Ovis aries: one gene and its partners. The protein of the gene in region 1 purifies or fractionates together with the protein of each later gene. This does not show direct contact. Links are inferred from orthologs where the notes say so. Each region holds a gene or a part of one and is shown on either strand. Other genes may lie near its edges.

The links.
Region 2: the proteins of RYK (region 1) and ADGRA3 purify together in Homo sapiens (affinity purification with mass spectrometry; 3 studies listed by BioGRID and IntAct, with this or other methods). This does not show direct contact. The link is inferred for Ovis aries from reciprocal best matches to the Homo sapiens genes RYK and ADGRA3.
Region 3: the proteins of RYK (region 1) and PCDH7 purify together in Homo sapiens (affinity purification with mass spectrometry; 3 studies listed by BioGRID and IntAct, with this or other methods). This does not show direct contact. The link is inferred for Ovis aries from reciprocal best matches to the Homo sapiens genes RYK and PCDH7.

The regions. Positions count from the first base shown.
Region 1 is NC_056054.1:255,841,979-255,845,089, forward strand, and holds the end of RYK (tyrosine-protein kinase RYK), read left to right. Parts: exon of another isoform or gene 1-1,026; coding exon 1,027-1,138; 3' UTR 1,139-2,169; downstream 2,170-3,111. UniProt on the Homo sapiens protein: May be a coreceptor along with FZD8 of Wnt proteins, such as WNT1, WNT3, WNT3A and WNT5A. Involved in neuron differentiation, axon guidance, corpus callosum establishment and neurite outgrowth.
Region 2 is NC_056059.1:42,570,034-42,574,332, reverse strand, and holds part of ADGRA3 (adhesion G protein-coupled receptor A3), read left to right. Parts: intron 1-2,679; coding exon 2,680-2,825; intron 2,826-4,299. UniProt on the Homo sapiens protein: Orphan receptor that may have a role in planar cell polarity pathway.
Region 3 is NC_056059.1:50,572,971-50,577,269, reverse strand, and holds part of PCDH7 (protocadherin-7), read right to left. Parts: coding exon 2,633-4,299; intron 1-2,632.

The sequences.
Region 1 (3,111 bases):
AACACTGAACATGCTGTTATTCAGTCGCCCAATCATGACCAACTCTTTGCAACCCCATGGACTGCAGCATGCCAGAACTCTTTGTCCCTCACCATCTCCCGAAGTTTGCCCAAGTTCACATCCATTGCATTGGTGATGCCATCCTGCCATCTTACCCTCTGACGCCCTCTTCTGCTTCTATATCGAGCCTTTCCCTTTGCCATCTGGCCTTGCCAGCTGGTGTGAATTGATATACGTATAAGGAAGATGTTCTGGTCTAATGAGTGAGATATCTCCCGTCTCCTGCTTTTACCACATAGCTAGTCTTCCCATGTAATGGGATCAGAGTGGGCAGGAGGCTCTTCAGGGGTGTGATTAAGTCTCAGTTCCAGAATCCCCTGAGGTTTTTATACTGTGATGAGGGGGCAGCTTTGTACAGATTTTGCTATAGATCCAGGATTCTTACAGCTTAGTTACAGCTTCCCCTTCCTCCAAGTTTTTTCTCTCACAACTTACATACAGTTGACCCTTGAACATTGTGGGTTTGAGCTCTGCAGGTCCACTTCCATGTAGATTTTTTTTTCAGTGATAAATGTTGCAGTATCATACAGCCTATGGCTGGTTGAGTATATGGATGTGGAGGAACTGGGGATATGAATGGCTAACTATAAGTTATATGCAAATTTTTGACTTGTGCAGAGGGTCAGCTCCCCTCCCCGCTGTGTTCTTCAAGAATCAACTGTGCAGGATAAAGCAGATTATTATTTTGACTGTGTTTTAAATAGTTACATAAAATCTCTACTTGGTGGTATATTTTGACATGTTTCAGAATTGAAATCCACATGTAATGTCCACATAACTCATTTTTGCTCTGCGAAGAGATTGATTTTTAATATGTCTTCCTCTCCACACCTACATTTAGACTGAAAATGTAGCTGGTATCATATTGATCAAAAGGTTAAGAGTAACACCTTGTGGAAAAACCCAAACTTTTTGGCCAACCCAGTATATCGTCAATAGGCAAATTTTCTGGTTTTGTCACTGCAGATTTGCTGTGATGGCTTGTTGCTGGGCCTTAGATCCGGAGGAGAGGCCCAAGTTCCAGCAGCTAGTCCAGTGTCTCACAGAGTTCCATGCAGCCCTGGGGGCCTACGTCTGACTCTGCTCTCACAGTCTCACAGCATCAGGAGGAACGTGCCTGCCGGGCCTGCTTGGAGCCAATCTTGGATGCCACATACGTCACGCAGCGCCACAGAAGCACATTTGTCTTCCAGAACACCATGCCTTAGGAATGCTTTAGAATTTGAACTATATAAGACAGACTTAATGATATGGAATATTTTCTAGATATCACTTTTATTAGATTGAACTGAAAATGTTTGTGTAAATTTTTTGGCCAAAATTTTTTTAAACATAGTTAACTTTGGACTAGGGTACATTGTTACAAAATAAATAAACAGTTTTTTAAATTGTTTAAACATGGATATTTGGAATAGCTATCTTAGTGCCAACTGCTTTTTTTTTTTTTTTTTTCTACTTCATCAATGTAGGTGATTCACCTTTAAAGTTTTTTGTTTGTTTGTTTTAATATCACCAGTCTTGGGAATGGTTTGTCTTCAAGATGCAGTACTTTTTCTTAGGGGGGGGAAAAAAAAAAACAGAAAAAAATGTTGGTTTGCCTTGTACAGGAAAAGCTAATGTTGGAGGAAGAAAACTTAAAGAAAATCTAGAGAGGAAAAAAGAAAAATACTTAACTGGAAATAGAAACTGGCCTTTCATGGAAAATTGTTTGTTTTTTTATTTGTTTAATGGAAAAGGGTTCTGCTTTCTTATTTTGGGGGAAGTAGGAACTGAGTTCATTGAAACATCTTAAATTTGGCAGAACCTAGCATTTCGGAGAGCCAGGAGTGGGCTTGGGGGCAGGTCAACAGTAAACAATGGTAATTTTATTTATTTTTACTCTTTGGAAAGGAGATAACAGAATTCCAGAAAGTGAAATCCTGTTTTTATAGTTAAGACTCCCTTTTCTTGCACCTAGAATAGTGCTATGCACAGAATGGGTGCTTGAGTGTTTTGAGTTAAAAAATGTAAACAGGTAGATTTTGTGCTTATTTTCAAGGCTGACTTAAGTATAAAAATTTTTTTTTTAAAAGAAAACACTTGAAAAATTAAAATATTTGTTTTATATTATGACAGTATTGAAAATGTTCTTCATGATGAATAATTGTTTGTGTCTGATAAGTCTCTGAACACACAACAGCTGGACACCCTGTTTCATTTCATGCATGTCTCACTCAGGCTCCCAAGCCCTAACACAAGTGCAGTCGACTCTACTCAGCCACCAGGTTCTAATAAAAAGTTGAGAGTATTATTACAGGACAGTATTAAAACACTAAAGCTTTTCTCCAGAGCCATTAAATTTAGGGTATATGTGTTTATGCTTGGCTATAGTTGGCCTAAGGCAGAGGTGGTTGGGCCTCTTAAATGTTAATAGCTAGGCCTTGCAGGTGCCTGCCTCTGCTCCCATCCTCAGGAGAGAGAGTAGAGAGAGTACGTAGCAGTTAAAGGCTTTTGCTCTTGTTAAAAGGAGCTTTATGAATCAGCAGTTCATTTGGGGAAATAGCTTACATGGTTCGTGCTCTGCTACAAGCAGCCAAGACCATGGTCTCTCTGGGTGCTCCTTTTGAATACTGGTTCTTTGGTTTTGTAAAATACTCAGCCGCCTAAAGGGCCAGCTCTTTGAACTTTGTAAGTGATAGAAGTTTGGGTTCACAACCTGCAGTCTTAGAAGACATTCAGTCAACAAATATTTATAGCATTTACTATATATTATTATGCACATGAAGTGAGTGGTTAAGCTCTGGCATCACTTCTAACATTCAGTGCATGTTTTTAAGTGTTTGGGATAGTATGTTGTTTAGATATCACAGTTCAGTACACAAGATCAGTTCAGAGAAGAAAGTGCTGTCATTGACTTCTACCCTAAGTTAGCATGTGGTAAGAGGTGCTCTCAGTTTGCTTGGATGTGCAGTGCCTGTAACCGTATCTCTGTTTATAAGTTATTTTATGTTTGTATATTTGTTTTAGAAGTGGTTTAAGACTTAGATAGGTTTTTCTTGCTGAACTACTTGG
Region 2 (4,299 bases), on another chromosome or scaffold:
ATTCCCTTCTGTAGGAGATCTTCCCAACCTAGGGATCAAACATGCGTCCCTTGCGTCTCCTGAATTGGCAGGTGAATTCTTTACTGCTGAGCTGCCTGGGAATCCCAAAATAGAAAGCAACTCTTTCCAAAAGATAGGAACACATTGCTGCTAGACTAGATCTCAGTGCCTCCTTTATTCTTTCTTATAGAACATTTGGTGATTTGCTTATGTGACTATTACCAGGTGCCTTTAGACCCCTAAAATTCCACTATGGCAATAATTGTTTAACTGGAAGGCTTTAGGATCTTTTAAGTATGAACACTTCTCTGCAAATTTTGAAATGCCATAGGAAACACTTCAAAATCTAAAGATTGAGTTTTACCTCTTAGATCTAAAACAAGAAAATTCTCCATCTTGCACCTTCTGTGTTGAAAATATTTTTAACTTGTGTTTTGAAGCTTATTTACAGCCTTGTCTCATTCTTTTGACCTCTACATCGGAGAAAACTGTAGAAACAGTAGAGGATATCATTTTGAGTCAATATCATTGATTGGTTTTGAATGTTTTGGTTTTTATGCACCAAATCCAATTATACTATTTTTATTTACAACATCTGATGTGACTCCAGATAGCTCAGAGGGTTATTTTATGCTTTTTGTTCCACTTGCATCTGTAAGCTTTGCTTTTATAGTGCAGTGAGTAAAGCTAGTATGAACCATGGAGCAACTTTTCTGCTTAAGAAGAAGATACTGTGAGGACTTCCCTGGTGGTCCAGTGGTTAAGAATCCATGTTTCCATTGCAGGGGACGTAGGTTCAATCACTGATTGGGGAACTAAGATCCCCTGTGTTGCACAACACTACCAAAATATAAATAAATAAAAATTAAATTAAAAAAATTTTTTAAAGATGAAGATACTCTGACCATCTGGTTCGGCCAGGCTGGATCACCCTCCTAGCCCTTTCAGCCATTGAGAGGGTAGTGACTTCCCTGGACAAGTGACCACCCTAGTTTTTGCCTTGCAAAATAATCTGTGTACTTCCATGTCACCAAGTCTAATGAGGTTCATGTCTCATTAACATGAGCCTTAGCAGTCTAGATGCTTCTGTTACTTACGTAGGATTGATGATGTCAGTCAGTTTGATTTTCTTGAGATTGGAGAGTCATCCTTTTTGAATTAAAAAAAAGTGTTTTTTTTTTTTCCCCCTTGGAAATTTTCATTCATAGAATTTCACCTGTAATCGTTGTATAAGAAGAAAGGATCAAAAGATAGAATTAGATAAGAAAGTTGAATTATGTCCTTGCTGCTCCATGCATTTGTTTTTCTTAAAATAGATTTTAAACCTCTCTTATCTCATGTTTATTTTTATCTAGAATTTTATCTTTAACTGCTGTTGCTTCAGACACAGTTCACAAGGGAAACATGCCCCCTATCATCCCTCTGGGAGGAGCTCAGTGTTATCACTTACCTATATTGCAGTTCTCCATCATCTTTCGAGTACTTATTATGTCCCAGGTGTTGTGCCCTTTCAGTCCCTACAAAAACCCCTAGGGATGCTTATGGATAGTCTTTTTGCTGTTCAAATGAGGAACATTAATTTCAAGAATGTTGACGTTATTTTCTTAAAACCATACTCCTAATAATAATAAAAATATTGCTGTATTTTTAATCATGTATAATGTACCAGGCAAAGTGCTAAATGCTTTATATAGGGTGTTCTATTTAAAGCCTTGTGGTACTTTGATATTATCCTCAGTTTACAAATGAGAACAGTGCTTGAGATATTCTGCGAGTTTGCTAAGGTGTCACAAGGGGTAGATTCTGGTTTTAAAACCAGGCAAAATTGTTAATTCTAGAGCTCACTCATTTCACCGATCTGTTATACTGCTCACTTGTCATCCATTTTGATACATAAAAGCTGTGAATTAGAACTATTCAGGTCTCTGACTCCAAAGATTATTCTCTGTGCTGTGACTTTTGCCCTCCAGTTACCCTTGACGTTCTCCTGATAGCTAAAGGTAAAGAATCCGCCTGCAATGCAGGGGACCCCAGTTTGATTCCTGGGTCGGGAAGATCTCCTGGAGAAGGGATAGGCTACCCATTCCAGTATTCTTGGGCGTCCCTTGTGGCTCAGCTGGTAAAGAATCAACCTGCAGTGTGGGAGACCTGGGTTCGATCCCTGGGTTGGGAATATTCCCTGGAGAAGGGAAAGGCTACCGCACTCCAGTATTATGGCCTGGAGGATTCCATGGACTGTATAGTCCATGGGGTCGCAAAGAGTCGGACACGATTGAGCGACTTTCGCTCTCACTTACCCTTGACATCTGCATTCCTCTTTAAAATAGACTTTAGGAACTCAACTCTGATTTATAACATAGCATCTATGGGAAACATGGCTTTGGTTTACTGTTGTCCAGGAATGAATTCCATGGTATGTTTAGTGTCATCTTAGGTATAAGTTGTAGTCCGTGGGCCTCCTGTATTCAACTATAAATTCAGTCCTCTATTATATGTCTGTTGGAGTGCTTTCTTTGTTCATTAGTGGGCAAAGGAATGGATCATTAGAATATACCTTTGTACAGTTTTTGAGTCAGATATTCAAAATAACTTACCAGTCTTTTTGAGGAAGCTTACTAGCAATTATTATATTTTGATTGTAAAGGGGAATTCATTTAGTTCATGTATTCTTCTTTCTAGGTTGGAATAATTCTTCATTATTCCACTCTTGCTACAGTACTATGGGTGGGAGTGACAGCTCGGAACATCTACAAACAAGTCACTAAAAAAGCTAAAAGATGCCAGGATCCTGATGAGCTGCCACCTCCACCAAGACCAATGCTCAGGTATCCAATATCTTCGTGTACTATCTTCTGTTACATGTCCACACATATTAATTTAATGAAGTATGGTCATATCAAAAAATTACTGAGTGAGCTTTGTAAGGTGGAAGAATAGACTTGTAAGCAGGCTTGCAGCTGGGAGTTCTTTGTGAAGTTCTGTATCCTCTCTTGTCTTTCTGTCTTATCTAGAAAGTGGGAATGATTCTCTTTCATAGACTTGTTGTGAGGCCTAAGTGACTTAATGTGTAAAGCACTTCAGACGGACGGTACTGGCCGTGGAATAGACTCTGAAAATATCAGTTGTTTTTATTTCCTTGAGGTCATTTAGTAGATTTCAGTCTTCTCAAGTATGTATCAGTGTCGTTATTCTCCAAGAAAGAAAAAACCGTTTTGGTGTTGTGCCGTTCCTAATATCATAATTTAAATCAGTTGTCAATGAACTATTATTCTGGACGAGTAGAGGAGACAGGTGTGAGAAGAACTACTGCAGCTGTGTGAGAGCTGGAGTGGAAGTACATTCTCTGAAAGCGCCAAAAAGGGACTGTAATTCTGAGGGGTCAGGGAGAGGGGGCGGCTATTAAGAATAGCTTGACTACCACATAAAGGGCAGAGGTGGCACTTCAGATACAGAATCATATCTCAAGCTGAACAGATTTGAGAAGTGCGGTTTGACTGTGGCTGGAACCTAGGGTTTATGGTGTAGAGTAGCATGATTCAGAGTAAAAGCTGAGTTTCAGGTTTTAGAGGGCCAGATTAAATTGTGGGCTATACATTAGAATGCCCGAAAGTAGGAGACATCTACAAATAATTCTGCTGAGGTCATTAGGAGATCCCCATGATTACTGCATAGGGTCTTCTGCCCATTTCAAAATTGGGAAAGGAGTATTTCAAGGCTGTGTATTGTCACCCTGCTTATTTAACTTATATACCGAGTACATCATGTGAAATGCTGGGCTAGATGAAGCACAAGCTGGAATCAAGATTGCCAGGAGAAATATCAATAACCTCACATAAACAGATGGCACCACCTTTATGGCAGAAAGTGAAGAACTAAAGAGCCTCTTGATGAAGGTGAAAGAGGAGAGTGAAAAAGCTGGCTTAAAACTCAACAAAAAAACTAGGATCGTGGCATCCAGTGCCATCACTTCATGGCAAATAGATGGTGAAACAATGGAAACAGTGACAGACTTTATTTTCTTGGGCTCCAAAATCACTGCAGATGATGACTTCAGCCATGAAATTAAAGATGGCTTGCTTCTTGGAGGAAAAGCTATGACAAACCTAGACAGCATATTAAAAAGCAGGGATTTTGCCAACAAAGGTCTGTGTAGTCAATGCTATGTTTTTTCCAGTAGTCATGTACAGATGTGAGAGTTAGACCATAAAGAAGGCTGAGTGCTGAAGAATTGATGCTTTTGAACTGTGGTGTTGGAGAAGACTTAAGAATCCCTCCGACTGCAAGGAGATCCAACCAGTC
Region 3 (4,299 bases), on another chromosome or scaffold:
AAACACTGGAATAGACATCATTTTCATTGTATCACAAATAAGGAACTATAATAAGGTAATTCAGGAAAATTATAAGTTAATAAAGGCTTTATGTCAGATAAAATCTATTTTTTAATTAATCCCTACCATATGAAATTTAAAAATGGCAACTCTCAAGATGTTCTTTACATAAATTCAGCATTAAAGAGGAGAAATTATAAGAAAACTCTGAATTAAAAAAAATTCAGGCTTAATCAAAGAAAATACATTTTGGTGATGTTTAAAAAGGCAATATCTTTTAAAAATAAATATAGAAAATCATCTATCTACAGCACAAACAAAAATGAGAACAAAAAAGATCTCATTATGCCAGATGTCAAAACAGAATGTAAATTTGTAAATGGATCCCTTGTCTCCTGACAGCAATACTGAGTAGATGAAGCATATCAATTACTATCACTAATTACATTAAGGGGAATGTATTTCATTTGCCTTTATTTCATTTTAGATCAGCTGTTTATTGTGGTTAAAATTTCATACATCTTTCAAATGCTTAAGAACATATATGTTTTCCAAAGTTATTTTTGGCAAACTGCATGGCTTATTTGAACGGCTTTGTAGGTTTTCTCTTCTGATATATGGACTTCCTTGTTCAGTTAAGAGACTAACACCATACATTAGTTTATTTATAAGCATATCACTTTGCCTTTTAGACAGGATGCCACCACACTCTTGATATTGGCTGTTTTAAATATTCAAGAATATAGAGCTAACCCTATTTGATGAGTCAAATAAAGCTTAAGTGACAGAACAGAACATAGGAGATAGTTGTATAAAATATCTATAAATCTGCCACTTGATATGTCCACTCAAAAGTTTAAGATTACATAATTTAGAATGCAAATGTTAGTCAACCACAGGATACAAAGTTCTTTTAAGATGACAGTGAAGTACGTATTCTGCATAAAGATCTTTTCACATGCTTTCTCTTAACAAATTATCATTTTCTAAAGAAATCTCTACAAATCTCTATTTGTGGGTTCTATAGCTAATGTTATAAAAGTGCTGTTACTTTTAACTGGAATCTTCCTTGTTTATAAAACAGATAAAAGCACCAAAAACAAAATAGAAATCTGCCTCTAAAGCCTAGGTAAAGCGATAACAAACATACTTTCCACTTGGCATATTTTAGTTTATAGGAAATAAGACTCACGTACTTGAAAAGACATCTTTTTTAAAGTCATTTAATTCAATGTAGTTCAGACCTGTGTTTTCTTGGATTGCTTTGGTAACTGGATATAAAAGCATACTGTCTATTTCTCCTTATCCAAATAGTTACAATAAAGGAATACATCAAAAACATTTCTTTATAATGCTTATTTTTAAAATTATAGGAAACAATAAGAAATTAATATTTATCTCTTTTCTATACCTTTAATGAGCCCATCAATAACATCTTCAGTGAGGCTATAAAATAAACTTTTTACATTGTCTCAATTATTTTAAGATCACACATTCTATATGCAAAACATATTTAATAGAACACTCTTTATTGGATATTGCTTGACAGACATAAATATGTTTCCTGAAATGTTCTGGCGGTAAGAAATATGTAATGTTTTATTAGCAGAGTTGCTACAGCTTTAGGTACAGACGTTTCCAAACGGTTTTCATTTGTTGTGTGTCAAATGTTGATGGGTGAGAAGAGTAAACTTTGTGAGTTATACACTCACACACACACATTACACAAAACAAAACTTTCAAAAATAAATTATATATTTTCTGAAGTTCACCTCAGAATATACTTTGCTTTTTTTTTTCAGTTTCCACACTTCACTGAGAAAAAACTGTGTCAAATATTCCATAAAACCTTTATAGTCTCAATATATCACAATGCATACCAAAATATTCTCACACACTACATCAAACATGAACATTTTTGTTACTTGGTTTAAATAATACATGATTCATGCAATTTACTTTTGCTTATGAACTTTTCATACCAAATACATATACTACAAATGCCAACTGCATATCCTCATAAAAGCCTAATTGTATAGATACTGAAATATTAAAATGTAGTTTTTTATGGTATTTACATATCATTAAATATTTTTAAGTCAGCATTTTTGTCAGTCAGCATTTCAATATCTCAGACTTGGTACTTCATTTGCATGAATCAGCATCTGCTTATCTGTAAAATTCTGCATAATATATAATGTAGCTAAAACTACTTAGTGTCCAATTTGCATAGACAGCAGTAGTAACTTTAGAAATTTTGTCTTTGGATAAAATTATCCACTTAGTAGCACAAAAGAAAAGAATTTTAGGTTAAAACTAGCCATCCAAACAGTTCACACATATTTATCTGGAAACAAAAAACGTAGCATGAATTAGAATTGTCAAACACCAAGAGAAGCGTAAAATACCACTTACAGTGCTTTCTTCTGTAACTTAGTACACTCTGGTATAAGGTGCAAACTATAGTGGTGCACCTTTTGTAAATGTCTTCTACTAAATAAGTGGTATAAGAATTACACCAACATTAATTTCCTGCTGTTAAAAATTTAACTAATAGCTTTAAGAGTGAAGACATGACTTTGCAGAAGATGCCCTGTCTTAGATATTTAAATATATATGGGATGCATCTTACCTGTTTGCTGTATTTGTTATTGGTTTGACAGCTGTACTCAGAGCAGTGATCTGATCCAATTGAAATGTTGTCTCCTGCTCCCACAAACGTATTAGCTGGTGGTAGATCTTGTACGGCCTGGTGTTTTTTTCCTGCAGTTGGTGATTGGGGGTGAAGCTGGACAGTAGGCAAGGGGGAACTAGATTTGTAATGCCTGGCCAGGTCAGGACTGCCAGGCCCACCATTAACTGATCGGTATCGGCCCATGCTTGGGCTGTCTGACAGCTTCTCATTGACACTGTCATACCTCTGTCCATTTGGTTTAGAAGCTTCTACAGTGACAATGCTGCTATAGAGTGGCTGCTTAGATTTTTTGTTTTTCTTGTCCTTTTTAGGTTTTTTAGATTTGTCATGCTGTTGGGGTGTAAAAAAGTCTTCATGATCTTTTTTGCCGGCTTCATAGCCATTTTTATTTTTGGACCGGCAATATCTTGCCATCACTACAATTAAGATGATTAGAATCACAGTCATAATTCCAGCAACCACCCCAATGACAATACTGAGTCTCTGTTTGCTAATTTCATAGCTTGGGTCACCAGCTATATCCTGGGTGAGTGGGGTGTGCAAGCTTCTGGCTATTTGAGAGTCAATCACAGTTGCATTAGAAACACTTTCATTGACAAACACATGCACCAGAGTCGTGGTAGACTGGGAAGGCTGCCCACTGTCATTCACTTGCACCACCAACCTGTGCAAGCCATAATGCTTTTGGGTGAGTTTTCCCACTAAGGAAACCACACCACTGGTGGAATCAATCTCAAACAGCTTGAAGGGATTCCCTCCCACAATGCTGTAGTTAAGGTCTGCATTGATGCCATCATCACTGTCTGTTGCCAACACTGTAGCTACTACTGTCCTGACGTTACTTGAAGGTGGCAGTAAAGTGTAGGAAATATTTCTGGGAAGGGTGACAGTGGGAGCATTGTCATTCTCATCCATCACAAAGAGAGAGACCGTGGCTGTAGCAGATCTGGGAGGATCTCCCCCATCCACAGCTTTGACTCTGAAAGTGTATGTGGTCTGATGTTCTCTGTCAAAAGACATCGTGGAGTAAATAGTCCCCGTGTCATTTTCAATGGAAAAAATGTTACTGTTCTCCTCTATGTATAGGCTCATCTCTGCATTGCGCCCCTTGTCAGCATCCATCACTGTGACCATTCCCACGGGGCTGTTGGGCTGTAAATTTTCTTTCACATAAAAGGTAAAGACGTCCTGCATGAACTTAGGGTCATTGTCATTCTTGTCAGCCACCTGAACAATCACTGTGGTGCTGCCCTGTAGCACGGGGATGCCTTTGTCTCTGGCGTTAACTTTAAACTCGTACCTGTCAGTCTGCTCGCGGTCCAGCACGGTATTGACGAGAATGTCCCCAGAATCGGGATCGATGGCAAAGATCCCCATCACGGAAGAGTCCAGCGAGTAGGCGATTTCAGCGTTTTTCCCACTGTCCGCGTCTGTAGCCAGCACCGTGGCTACCCTCTCTCCCGGGATGTTGTTCTCAGGAAAGTACACCTCCACCACTGACTGGCCAAAGACAGGCGGGTTGTCGTTGGTGTCTCCCACCTTGACAATCAGGGAGTTGTTGCTGGAGAGACTGGGGCTGCCGGAGTCCACCGCTACTATGACCA